Linked DNA regions of Daphnia pulex. The protein of the gene in region 3 purifies or fractionates together with the protein of the main gene of each other region. This does not show direct contact. Links are inferred from orthologs where the notes say so. Each region holds a gene or a part of one and is shown on either strand. Other genes may lie near its edges. The genes, in order: ATP-dependent DNA helicase Q4-like, DNA (cytosine-5)-methyltransferase 1-like and NAD-dependent protein deacetylase sirtuin-1-like.

Region 1 (2,305 bases), on a different chromosome or scaffold from region 3:
CTACTCCGAACCTATTTGAAAGATCCTGTCAAGGATTTGGAGAGCAAAGGAGGCGGTCGTCGTCGAGGCATATCCTGGAGCGCTGAAGCCTATCACGCAGGATTGACAGCAGCTCGACGAAGTTCTGTGCAGAAACAATTCATGACGGGCAAGATGAAAATAGTCGTGGCCACCGTAGCCTTTGGAATGGGTATCAACAAGTCCGACATCCGGGCCATCATCCACTACAACGCTCCGAAAAATTTCGAAAATTACGTCCAGGAAATCGGTCGAGCTGGACGTGATGGTTTACCTGCTCACTGCCACGTTTTCCTCAACTCGGAGGTAATTTAGTAAATGATCCTGTTTAATTGGATTACGATCCTAATTGTTTTTCTCTTATTCAGGGAAGAGATTTACAAGAATTGAAGAGATTCATTTACGCCAATTCCACTGATCGTCACGTTTTAAGAAAATTGATGAGAAAGATTTTACCGGAACCTTGCGATTGCCGGAAAGAAGACGGTTCCGGCGAATGCAAAGGTCACGAAGTGGCCATGGTTATTGAGTCGACCATTCAAGAGCTGGATATGCCGGAAGAGAATATTGCGACGCTACTCTGCCACTTGGAATCTCACCCGTCTCGCTGGGTCCTTGAAGTGGGTTCAAAAGTTTACGCTACGTGCACTGTCCGGTGCTACGGAGGACTCCTCCAGCTGAAAATGGCCGCCAGAGAGTGTCCGGCTCTAGGTGCAGCCCTTGCCCTACAGAAAGCGGATACGACAGCCGTCCGGACCTTCGCCGTTGTCGACGTTGCCCGCCGAATAGGATGGGAAAGCGGCGCTGTCAAACGTCAGTTGAAATCACTGGAATGGGATCGTTCGGCCGTCGCCATCGGTGGTAAACCGAGACGTTCGGGCATCTTGGTGGAGTTTAGCGACCTGGCGTTCCACCTGCACGTCCGCGGAGATCTTTCAGAGGCTGAGCAAGATGCCGCTTTAGAGTTCATCCATCAGCGCTGCATGAATCGCGAGGCCACTGAAATTCAGCAGCTCCAGCGCATCCATCAAGCGTTGCTCAGTATTTCTCACTCCCAATCAATTTCCTGCTGTGAGACGGTGGACGAGACCAAGAGCGACAAATTGCGGAGTTTCATCAAAGATTATTTCGAAGAAGAAGCTGGAGCTTGTCAACCTGTTGAAGAGGTCGTCCTCTGTCCGGACAATCAAGAGCAATTCATCCGGGCCACCATCCGCAGTTTGATTCTCAATTACCGTGATCAGACTTTCACCGCCCGATCTATCGCCAGGATCCTTCACGGCATCTCCAGTCCGTGTTATCCGGCAGAAATTTGGGGTAAAGCCCGTCAACATTGGCGTGCCCAGCTTCACCAAGATTTTAACCTCCTCGTCCGGATGGGCGCCCAAGAATTGCTAGCTCTAAAATGATGATTGCTATACTTTTTAAAAAAATGAATTTTTAGCTTAATTTTCTCTTTTTTTCTTGTATTGATACATTTTTGAGACGAACATAAAATATTTAATTCCTTAGCCAAATTGTCAATTATTTAAAAAAAAATACCGCCACCCCAATTACTTTGTTCGAGGGACAAACTATTTTTAAAAATGTAAGGGGAAAAATATATAAACTTATTTAGTCATGTGGGTACTAGGCAACCACCATTTTCTATATGTCAAAAGTAGGTACCGTTTAAGTAAAAAAATTTCGTTGGTTATGTTGGCATGTTGGTTAATAGAAATGGTTGTGCGGGCAATCATCACTGTAATCCTGAACTTCGGGCTCTGAGAAGGCAGCAGTTTTATTAAATGAGCTACTGGATCCGATTTTCGAATGAATGCGGAACATTTTCTCCGTTTTAATCTTTTCTCTGCACAGGCGGCAGCTGTACTTTAGAAAGGCCTTGGCGTGAAAGAAGCTGAAGGGCCCACTGAATAAATGAATAAATGATGGGATTATTACAAGAAAAACAAAGACTTTGAAACAACAACCTGTGGGTTCTTTCAAACACTTCTTCTTCTTGGTCGACGGAGGCGTTGTGCTTCCAGAAGTGGCAGTAGGTACGGATGAAGAAGAGCAGGGGGAAGAAGTAGCCCGGGCTGAGGAGCACAAGGAAAGCGAAGAGTAGGCGCCCGACAAACAATAACCTCTCCCGCCCCTCCAGAAAGCGCTCAATTGCACTGTTTCCCACAGGATTCTTGGTCGGTTTGGCGGATGAATCGATTTTGGCAGCAGCAGCAGCAGCACTGACGGAACAACGCCGTTTACGGCAGAAAGCAGGTAACTTACCTGGCGAGGGGAATGTGGC
Region 2 (3,737 bases), on a different chromosome or scaffold from region 3:
TAGACACGAATGAATTAAATATTAATTGTTAATAATTAACTTACGCAGGATGCCATTATAGGCAATACCAACGACATAGCCAATACAGAATGGGTCGGGTGTGTCGTTATTCGATCCTTTGATGTTGTCCGTTTTCCTGTACTTTTCTGGGTAATATTCTTCGTCGTACTCTACTCCGAAAATATCATCTTCCTCTGGATCAATCTTCTCCTTTTTAACAATACTCCCATCTGGCCCCCGCATTGCATAAGCGCCCGGTTCGAGGAAAACGGCTTCACCGACTTTGATATCCAATTCGTGCCATGTGACGCTGTCAAAACCGCCTGAATCCAACTTGTTGCCCAATTTGGCAAAATCACGTTGGCGGATAACATCCAGGCGATCACAGCAGGGACATCCTTTGATGTTGTTTACTACGTCCGGGCATTCGGGTGGATCTTCAAAACGGCCGGTCCGTCCATGGTAGAGATAGCGGTACCAAAACGTCGTGTCGGAATGATCTTCTTCGCTCTGAAATAAAGACGGGTCATCTGATCCACCTTCTGCTTTCCATTTGACGGGATCCACTGGTTTGTACTTGACGTTGACAACTTTCACGACGGCAGACAGGAGTAGGTCTTCGCAATCTTCAATCAGAACAAGTTCTCTGGGATCGTCGCAAGTTTCTCCCAGCACAGTGTCAGTTCCACGGCAAAACCAGCGGGCGTGTAGAAACTGCTCCCCACTTTTCCCATCTTCCCATAAAGCTATGACTTCGGCAATATACATGGGAATGCTAGGATCATCCGGTTCGATGGTGACGTGGCCTCCGGCAAAGACGCGCATGTCTCCGTTGACAATCGCGGCAGAGTAGAAAGTGAGATCGTCGACTTCTTTCAATTCCGGTCCATCCCATTCAATTTTGTAGGCGTGGCGCTTGACAGGTTTTTTGTGGTCGACATCCAGACTCACCACCTCAATTTCCGTGTCGAGAACAGCGTCCAGTTCGTCATCGTCGTCTGCCACTTGAACAGCTCTATTCGGACACTTCCGGAGGACACAACTCTGTTTGCTGCGACCGGAACCGCCAAATTTCACCATGTCTCGACAGAAATTGCACTTACCGCAGTCTGTTTGCTGGCAGGCTTCGCAAATACCACAGCGAGTACGGCGAGGAGCAGACGTAGGGCCGAATTTGTCCTCTCCTTGCTCCATTTGATCACGGAAAAAGCTCTCGAAGACGTAACCAACCAATGGCGTAGTAGTAGCTTTTGTCCAGTTGGGGCCTTTTTTGGCTTTAGGCTGGCGTCTCTTCTCCAATTTTCGGGTAGCTCTTCTCTTACCGAGTGTGATACCTGACAATTGAATCAGCGTACGCATACACGGGCTAAGAATAAGTGGCGGCTCGTCTTCGGCTCCAGCTGCATCAAAGTGATATACGCGATCGCAGACAAATTCGGCGTAGCGCAAAAGAGAATCCTCCGATACGCGGGAACCATTGGGCATCAAAGAATTCTGCAGTCTAGTCAGTAGATCTTCATATTCGGCGTTGTCGTCTTCGATCAAGAGCTCGATGACCGTCTTGCTCAGAAAAATCTTTTCTTCCAACTCGTTCATGATGGGTTCGTACAATTCTGAAGCCGACATTAAATAGTAGTCAGCATAAGAAGTGGCGAAACCTGAAAATTGATAAATGAATACAGGAATATTTTTAAAACATCTAATTAATAAATTAAAACATACACATGATTGCTTTTTCTCCTCCATCGAAGCCACTGATGAACCACTCGTTGATGGGCCCGATCTCTTTCGTCGCAATACCTCCTTCGACACCCGGGTTATCGTTCCACACAGGCTTAACGTAACCATAAGCGAAGAGTAAATGGTTAGCTTCGATTGCACCCCCGTCTAGATGACATAAATGGCCAGGTTCGTCGTAAATGCCAAACTGGGTGAGCTTCAAGATGGGTCTTTGATCCAATTCTGACATGACCTCTTCTTCACCAGTGAACAAGCTCAACGATGGATCAGTTAGAGCAATAATTTCTTCAATGGAATCTGCTGGTGGACCAGGGAAATATTTCAAATCAGGAGAATCAAACCTTGGAAATGAAATCATTAATTGATTTTATGATAACAGACAAGAAAAATAATGATTAAGTTACCTTTGACGACACACATGACAGCGATTAGGATCTTTACGGTTGATTTTCTTCTTCCTTGATGGCCTATAGCCACCAATATCTGGCAATTCTACCTTTGCATGCCTGCTGGCAGTTCTTCGTTTTTTTTTTGTGTTGCCAGGAAGGAAATCATCGTCCCCCTCACCAGACGCAGCAGCTTCATCAAATGTATACCTAACTTTAACTCCTCTTGTCTTTGACAATACAGTTACTGGTTTAGATGTTGGCTTATTGGCTTCTTCTTCAACTGTTTTGGGCATCGGCTTGGTTTCTTCTTCAACGGGTGTAGTGTCTGGGCTTGATTCACTATTAGCTTGAAGTTCTGGGGGCTCTTCTTTCACATTGACTTCATTTCCTGCAACCCCATCACCATCTGTGCATTCTATTCTCATTATGGTTGTCAAATATACCTATAAAAATACCAATACACTTGAATAAGGCAATTATTGTAAAAAAAAACAATGCTAAAGCACATTGTTAACTGTCTAGTATGTTTTATGTATCGGGAATAATAATTCTACTTAAACTTACTTGTTGAAAATTATCCACTGATGGCCGACGTGACTTCTTTAAAAAAAACCTAAAATAATGAATTCGTAAAATCAAAATCTCTCACTGACAAAGCACTGCCAATTCAACTAACTCATGGAGTCATGGCTCTCAGCTGATCGTTTTTCGCGCCTTTTTATGGATTATGGAAGACAGTGCCAGAGACAGTGGTGCCACCTTCTAAAAAAAGACGCAATCTAAAATAAAATGAATAAATGAAAAAATGATATAAGATTATAAGATTATAAGAAATAAAAAAATTTAAATTCAAACTTTCTACAAAGTGTAAGAACCGTGCGTCCTTCAATGCGTGTATCGACGTATAGTACACAATTCAATAATTACATGAGTTTGAATTGCGGTATTTAAACTGCATTTAAACTACCCCAAATGAGAGAAGATGAATGTTTAAATTCTGGAATTTATCCCAGAAACCGTGAAGATGATAGCCTACGTTTGATGAGTTCACTTCAAACGTATGCAACAAATAGAAGATGATGACCTCATTATTCCCGAAACGATAAATCATGGCTTCATTAACCTTGATCATTATTCACAACTTTCTTTTTTAGTATCCTACTTTTATTTATCGATACTAATATAGATATTTCGCACGAAAAAAAATTTTTTCCCTTCTGTTTACCTTACTAGCCATGCACCGAAATAAAAAGTTGACGATCTCGTTAACTGCGGACTCCAGCAAACGTGCATGTTTGCAATAAAAAGATGGACCCCATTCACAAACTTGCTGTTCTAAATTCAGCGCACCCCACTAGTAGTGAGTCACGTACAGACTAAAATGTAAAAAGTCTTTGAAGGTGGAATGAGTGGAGAAGTTCCTTTGCTAAAAATCGTGTGTATTTGTTATACGGCAACTTATTATTATGTAAAGAGCGTGAATTCTCTCTTTACAGTTGCGTTCGTGAGATTTTGTTGTGTGTAAGTTAGGTTAAGGAGCAACTCAGTGAATGTTGAAATTTCTGGGTACTGAACTAAACAATAATAATAATAATACGTATGGCAAAC
Region 3 (3,681 bases):
CACTGAACATTTCAGAACAGCTTGCCAAGATTTCACAGAAAAATGAAAATTCCACTTCCCCTTATCCATAATACAGGAAAAAAAAGAAATACTAAATACCATCGAGAGATTTCGTCTATATACACACGCTTGAAGCTTTTAAATAGAATCCATATTGTTAACATAACAATGGTAAAAACAGAAGCTTTGTCGTTGCTTCGGAATACGTCGTCAATCCATCGCTTTCCTTTTTACTCCATGCTCCGGGAAAGGTTGAGTTGAATCTCCTCCATCAATTCCAGACGAATCGCTGGAATCAGAGGATGAGTCAGAATCGGACTCTACCTCTTCGTCTGGGTCATAGAAGAGTTCAGCACCAGGAAACAGGTATCGACCAGGTTGGACGGTGAGATAAGTGTTTTCTGAATTTTATGCAAGGAAATGCATATAGATGACATAGACAACAACCGAACAAAAATAAATTACCTGGGAGTTGATCGGCAAGATTCACTTTGATTCGCGGCTCCCACCATCCGGTCATGTCATGAGTAACTGGTTCAACATCACCAGACTCGGCTGATTCCATTTCTAAGCTTCCTGTAGACATCCCACTGTCCCGGCGTAAAGGATCGTCTTGATCTCTTTTGGGGAAAATGGGTGCAGGTACGGCGACAGAAGGAGTGGGGCGTGGTGGTAGGCGACTGATCTCTGTTAGAGGTTCGCGGTAACAAATGTCATCTTTCCATTGTGTACCCAGTCTGATTGTTACAAGAAGATTGATGAGACAACAAATTTGGCTGATGAAAATTACTGTATACTAACAAATGACACAGTTGGTTGACGATAATATCGCAGTCCCCAAGCAGTTCAACATCAAAGACCATGTGGCGGAGAGGTTCGCGATTGATAAGAATTTGCGGAACATGATTCGGTAGGGCGCCTATTTGAATCAAGAGAAACTTATTGCATATGAACTTTAAGGTTACAAGATGACATTTAAAATAACTTACATGGGATGAGTGCGACAGGGCGGACTTTGAGCGATGACCCAATCACGATTATCAGGTCACATTCTTCTTTATCGAGTACCATAGCGCGGTGAAATTCGTCTGGCATTCCTTCTCCAAAGAAAACAATGTCAGGCTTCATGATCGGCTGGGCCGATAATGCCACCGACGACGATGTACTGGCCTCGTCTTCATTTTTCGACACATCCGAGCATTTCGGACAAAGTGGAATGCGTTGTTCCATTATGTCTTTTTCTATCTCGTTCGAGGGGACGCGATGTTGGCAGCGCAGGCAAGTGGCAGTAGCAAACGAGCCATGACATTGGATAACCCTTTCGATATCTGCTTGTTGTTCTAGTGTATCTATGTTTTGCGTGTAGTTGCGCAAAAGCTTGTTTTGTTTCTCTAGCAAACGAATGAACCTAAACAAAATATCGTTTCATTAGCGAAATTTCAAAATTGTCAAGAGAATTTGTTTACTTGTGGCATTTAGAAGGTGTAAACTGTCCTGGCCAAAGGTCTCGGGCGAATTTAAAGAACGGTCGGGGATCTTTTCGGAAGTAATGGATATCAAACATAGCTTGAGGATCGGGCAAGTCAGGGAAGTCGACGGCTAAGCGAGCGTAAATTCCATCACGGCTACGAAAGTCGGGAATACCACAGGAAACAGAAACCTAAACAAAATTTGTTCAAATATAATGAGGTAAATTATTTTATAAAAAAAAAAAAAAAAATTACCCCTGCTCCTGTAAGAACTAGAATCTTTTTACAGCTACGGAGTAATCTGACGGCATCGGATATTGCATTTATGTGGCGTAAACGTTCCCGCCTTGGAGGTTCACTGACAATATTCACGATTATCTGTTTTATTCAATAATTATGATTAGTTGCCTTGACAATGCTACAAATTTATAATTTTACCTTCCAAAGGGTGACATCGTCAAGATGGGTGGGGATTTGAGCATCATTTGGTACCAACTCATTCAGGATGGTTCGAGGATTGGTACCAAGAAGCATCTGTTGTTGCACCCAAGACATCGTCCCTGATGATGGCTCCCAGTCATGATTGCTCAAGTCACTCAACCCACTTATGTCTGAAACATCACTATCTGAGGAGGTATCATCATCTTTCTCCAAATTGCCCATTGAATCATCAGCATCTTGAATGGCTGGCAAAGCATAGCTACAAATAAATAAATAATAAAGTTAGACCATATGTTTGTACACAATAAAAAGAAGACATTAGTCCACATTACCTGGTAGATGGTAAATCATTAGTGAGATTTTCATCCTCGCTGCTGGCTAAAGACGTTAACTCGCTGAAGCCTGAATCCCCAGCGTTGAACATTTCACAGCTTCCTAGTTGTCCTGCATCATTTGCTGAAATTTAAAAAAAAAAAAAAAATATTTCAAGTAAGCTCACAATGGATCAACTCTACAGCCATCAAGAAATTTCAACTCAAGAAACCAAAACAGTATTTGACAAGTGTCATCACACTGTTATGACATTCAAACATGCCGCCCCAAAATTTTGGCAACGCAGCAATCGACCAAAAAGAAGGGCGTCTCCCCTCCCCCCCCCCCATCCGCCAATGGCCGCACTAACGAAGCAAAAGGCCATTTACCTCAAAACCGAATGCAATCTTTTGCTAACAATTTTGATTAGGTTCACAAGTACATTAAATGAATGAAATCGATCAAACGGGTACTTACAAAGCTGTTGGCCCTCAATAAAGGACTGTGAGATGTCAATCGGCAGCAAAGTTCTGCTTCGTTTTACGGGACTGTGAAAGTTCTCGCCTTGTTCGTCGGCCATTGCTTCGTCTTCCGTCGATCGTGGGGTAGAGGGCGCTTCTTCTTCTTCACAAATTTCGGGCCGCCAGGTGGCAGGTCAGCGTTGCCAGTATGAATCGAATTCGTCCCGAAACCGGAAGAAAATATGCGCAAGGACATGTATACATGAAATAGGAAGGGAATTAATTCAAGGCCTTTCCTTGTCGAGCTTTTATATCAACCTTAGTCCACTTTCCGCACGTTGCGGTTCAGATAAGGCATTGTGATTTTCGCATAAGGAGGAAAGCTGCTGATTATAATTTTTTTTTTAATAGGAGGTTTATCAGAAATGCAGTATCACCAAATTAAACTGAGAAAAAAATTAGTTCAAGATGTACTAAACATCACGAATGAGGTTACGCGATATCGGGAAAATAATTCACGTATGGCATTTGTACTAGAGAAGCGACCCCGAGGTTTGACTGACTTATAATATTCGTGGACCATAAAACCAAATCGCATAGGGGTGAGCCGGCCCGCGGTGCGTTATACCCCCAAAAGTTGTAAAACATGGTCTAGCGATTTGACGAACTTAATTAAATCTGATAGGCATAGCACACGGGGCCGCCCGATATGGCCGCTCTTGTTTGAAAGCGTGCGTCACAACAATTGCGCTGAGTGTGTGTGAGGATTATTAGTGCTGCGGGATCCGGTAAGTACTTGACTCCAGTCGAGAACGATCAGGCTTGATAAACAACAGCAGAGCTCAGTTGCTGGATTTACCTTCCGACAAGCAAGGAATTACTACTTTTTTCAATGTAAGTGAATTCATTGTTTTCCCACACGTAATAACCGAACTCAAGTCGTTCGTGCGAATTTCAGACTTTCACAGGAATGGATTTTTCAAACGTCAACTTCCCAT

The links.
Region 1: the proteins of NAD-dependent protein deacetylase sirtuin-1-like (region 3) and ATP-dependent DNA helicase Q4-like purify together in Homo sapiens (affinity purification with mass spectrometry; 3 studies listed by BioGRID). This does not show direct contact. The link is inferred for Daphnia pulex from reciprocal best matches to the Homo sapiens genes SIRT1 and RECQL4.
Region 2: the proteins of NAD-dependent protein deacetylase sirtuin-1-like (region 3) and DNA (cytosine-5)-methyltransferase 1-like purify together in Homo sapiens (affinity purification with western blotting; 3 studies listed by BioGRID and IntAct, with this or other methods). This does not show direct contact. The link is inferred for Daphnia pulex from reciprocal best matches to the Homo sapiens genes SIRT1 and DNMT1.

Annotation. Positions count from the first base shown.
Region 1 is NC_060025.1:8,764,474-8,766,778, forward strand, and holds the end of ATP-dependent DNA helicase Q4-like, read left to right. Parts: coding exon 1-324; intron 325-386; coding exon 387-1,427; 3' UTR 1,428-1,687; downstream 1,688-2,305. Other genes in the region: uncharacterized protein LOC124203353, read right to left, coding at 1,729-1,927, 1,989-2,305. UniProt on the Homo sapiens protein: An ATP-dependent DNA helicase which unwinds dsDNA with a 3'-overhang in a 3'-5' direction. Does not unwind more than 18 bp of dsDNA. May modulate chromosome segregation. The N-terminal domain (residues 1-54) binds DNA Y-shaped DNA better than ss- or dsDNA.
Region 2 is NC_060019.1:5,827,935-5,831,671, forward strand, and holds the start of DNA (cytosine-5)-methyltransferase 1-like, read right to left. Parts: upstream 2,864-3,737; 5' UTR 2,694-2,863; intron 2,573-2,693; 5' UTR 2,555-2,572; coding exon 2,145-2,554; intron 2,082-2,144; coding exon 1,723-2,081; intron 1,659-1,722; coding exon 45-1,658; intron 1-44. UniProt on the Homo sapiens protein: Methylates CpG residues. Preferentially methylates hemimethylated DNA. Associates with DNA replication sites in S phase maintaining the methylation pattern in the newly synthesized strand, that is essential for epigenetic inheritance.
Region 3 is NC_060021.1:10,714,551-10,718,231, forward strand, and holds the start of NAD-dependent protein deacetylase sirtuin-1-like, read right to left. Parts: upstream 2,889-3,681; 5' UTR 2,803-2,888; coding exon 2,700-2,802; intron 2,367-2,699; coding exon 2,243-2,366; intron 2,170-2,242; coding exon 1,908-2,169; intron 1,848-1,907; coding exon 1,725-1,847; intron 1,661-1,724; coding exon 1,467-1,660; intron 1,409-1,466; coding exon 990-1,408; intron 920-989; coding exon 802-919; intron 738-801; coding exon 466-737; intron 402-465; coding exon 211-401; 3' UTR 1-210. Other genes in the region: neuropeptide FF receptor 2-like, read left to right, coding at 3,654-3,681. UniProt on the Homo sapiens protein: NAD-dependent protein deacetylase that links transcriptional regulation directly to intracellular energetics and participates in the coordination of several separated cellular functions such as cell cycle, response to DNA damage, metabolism, apoptosis and autophagy.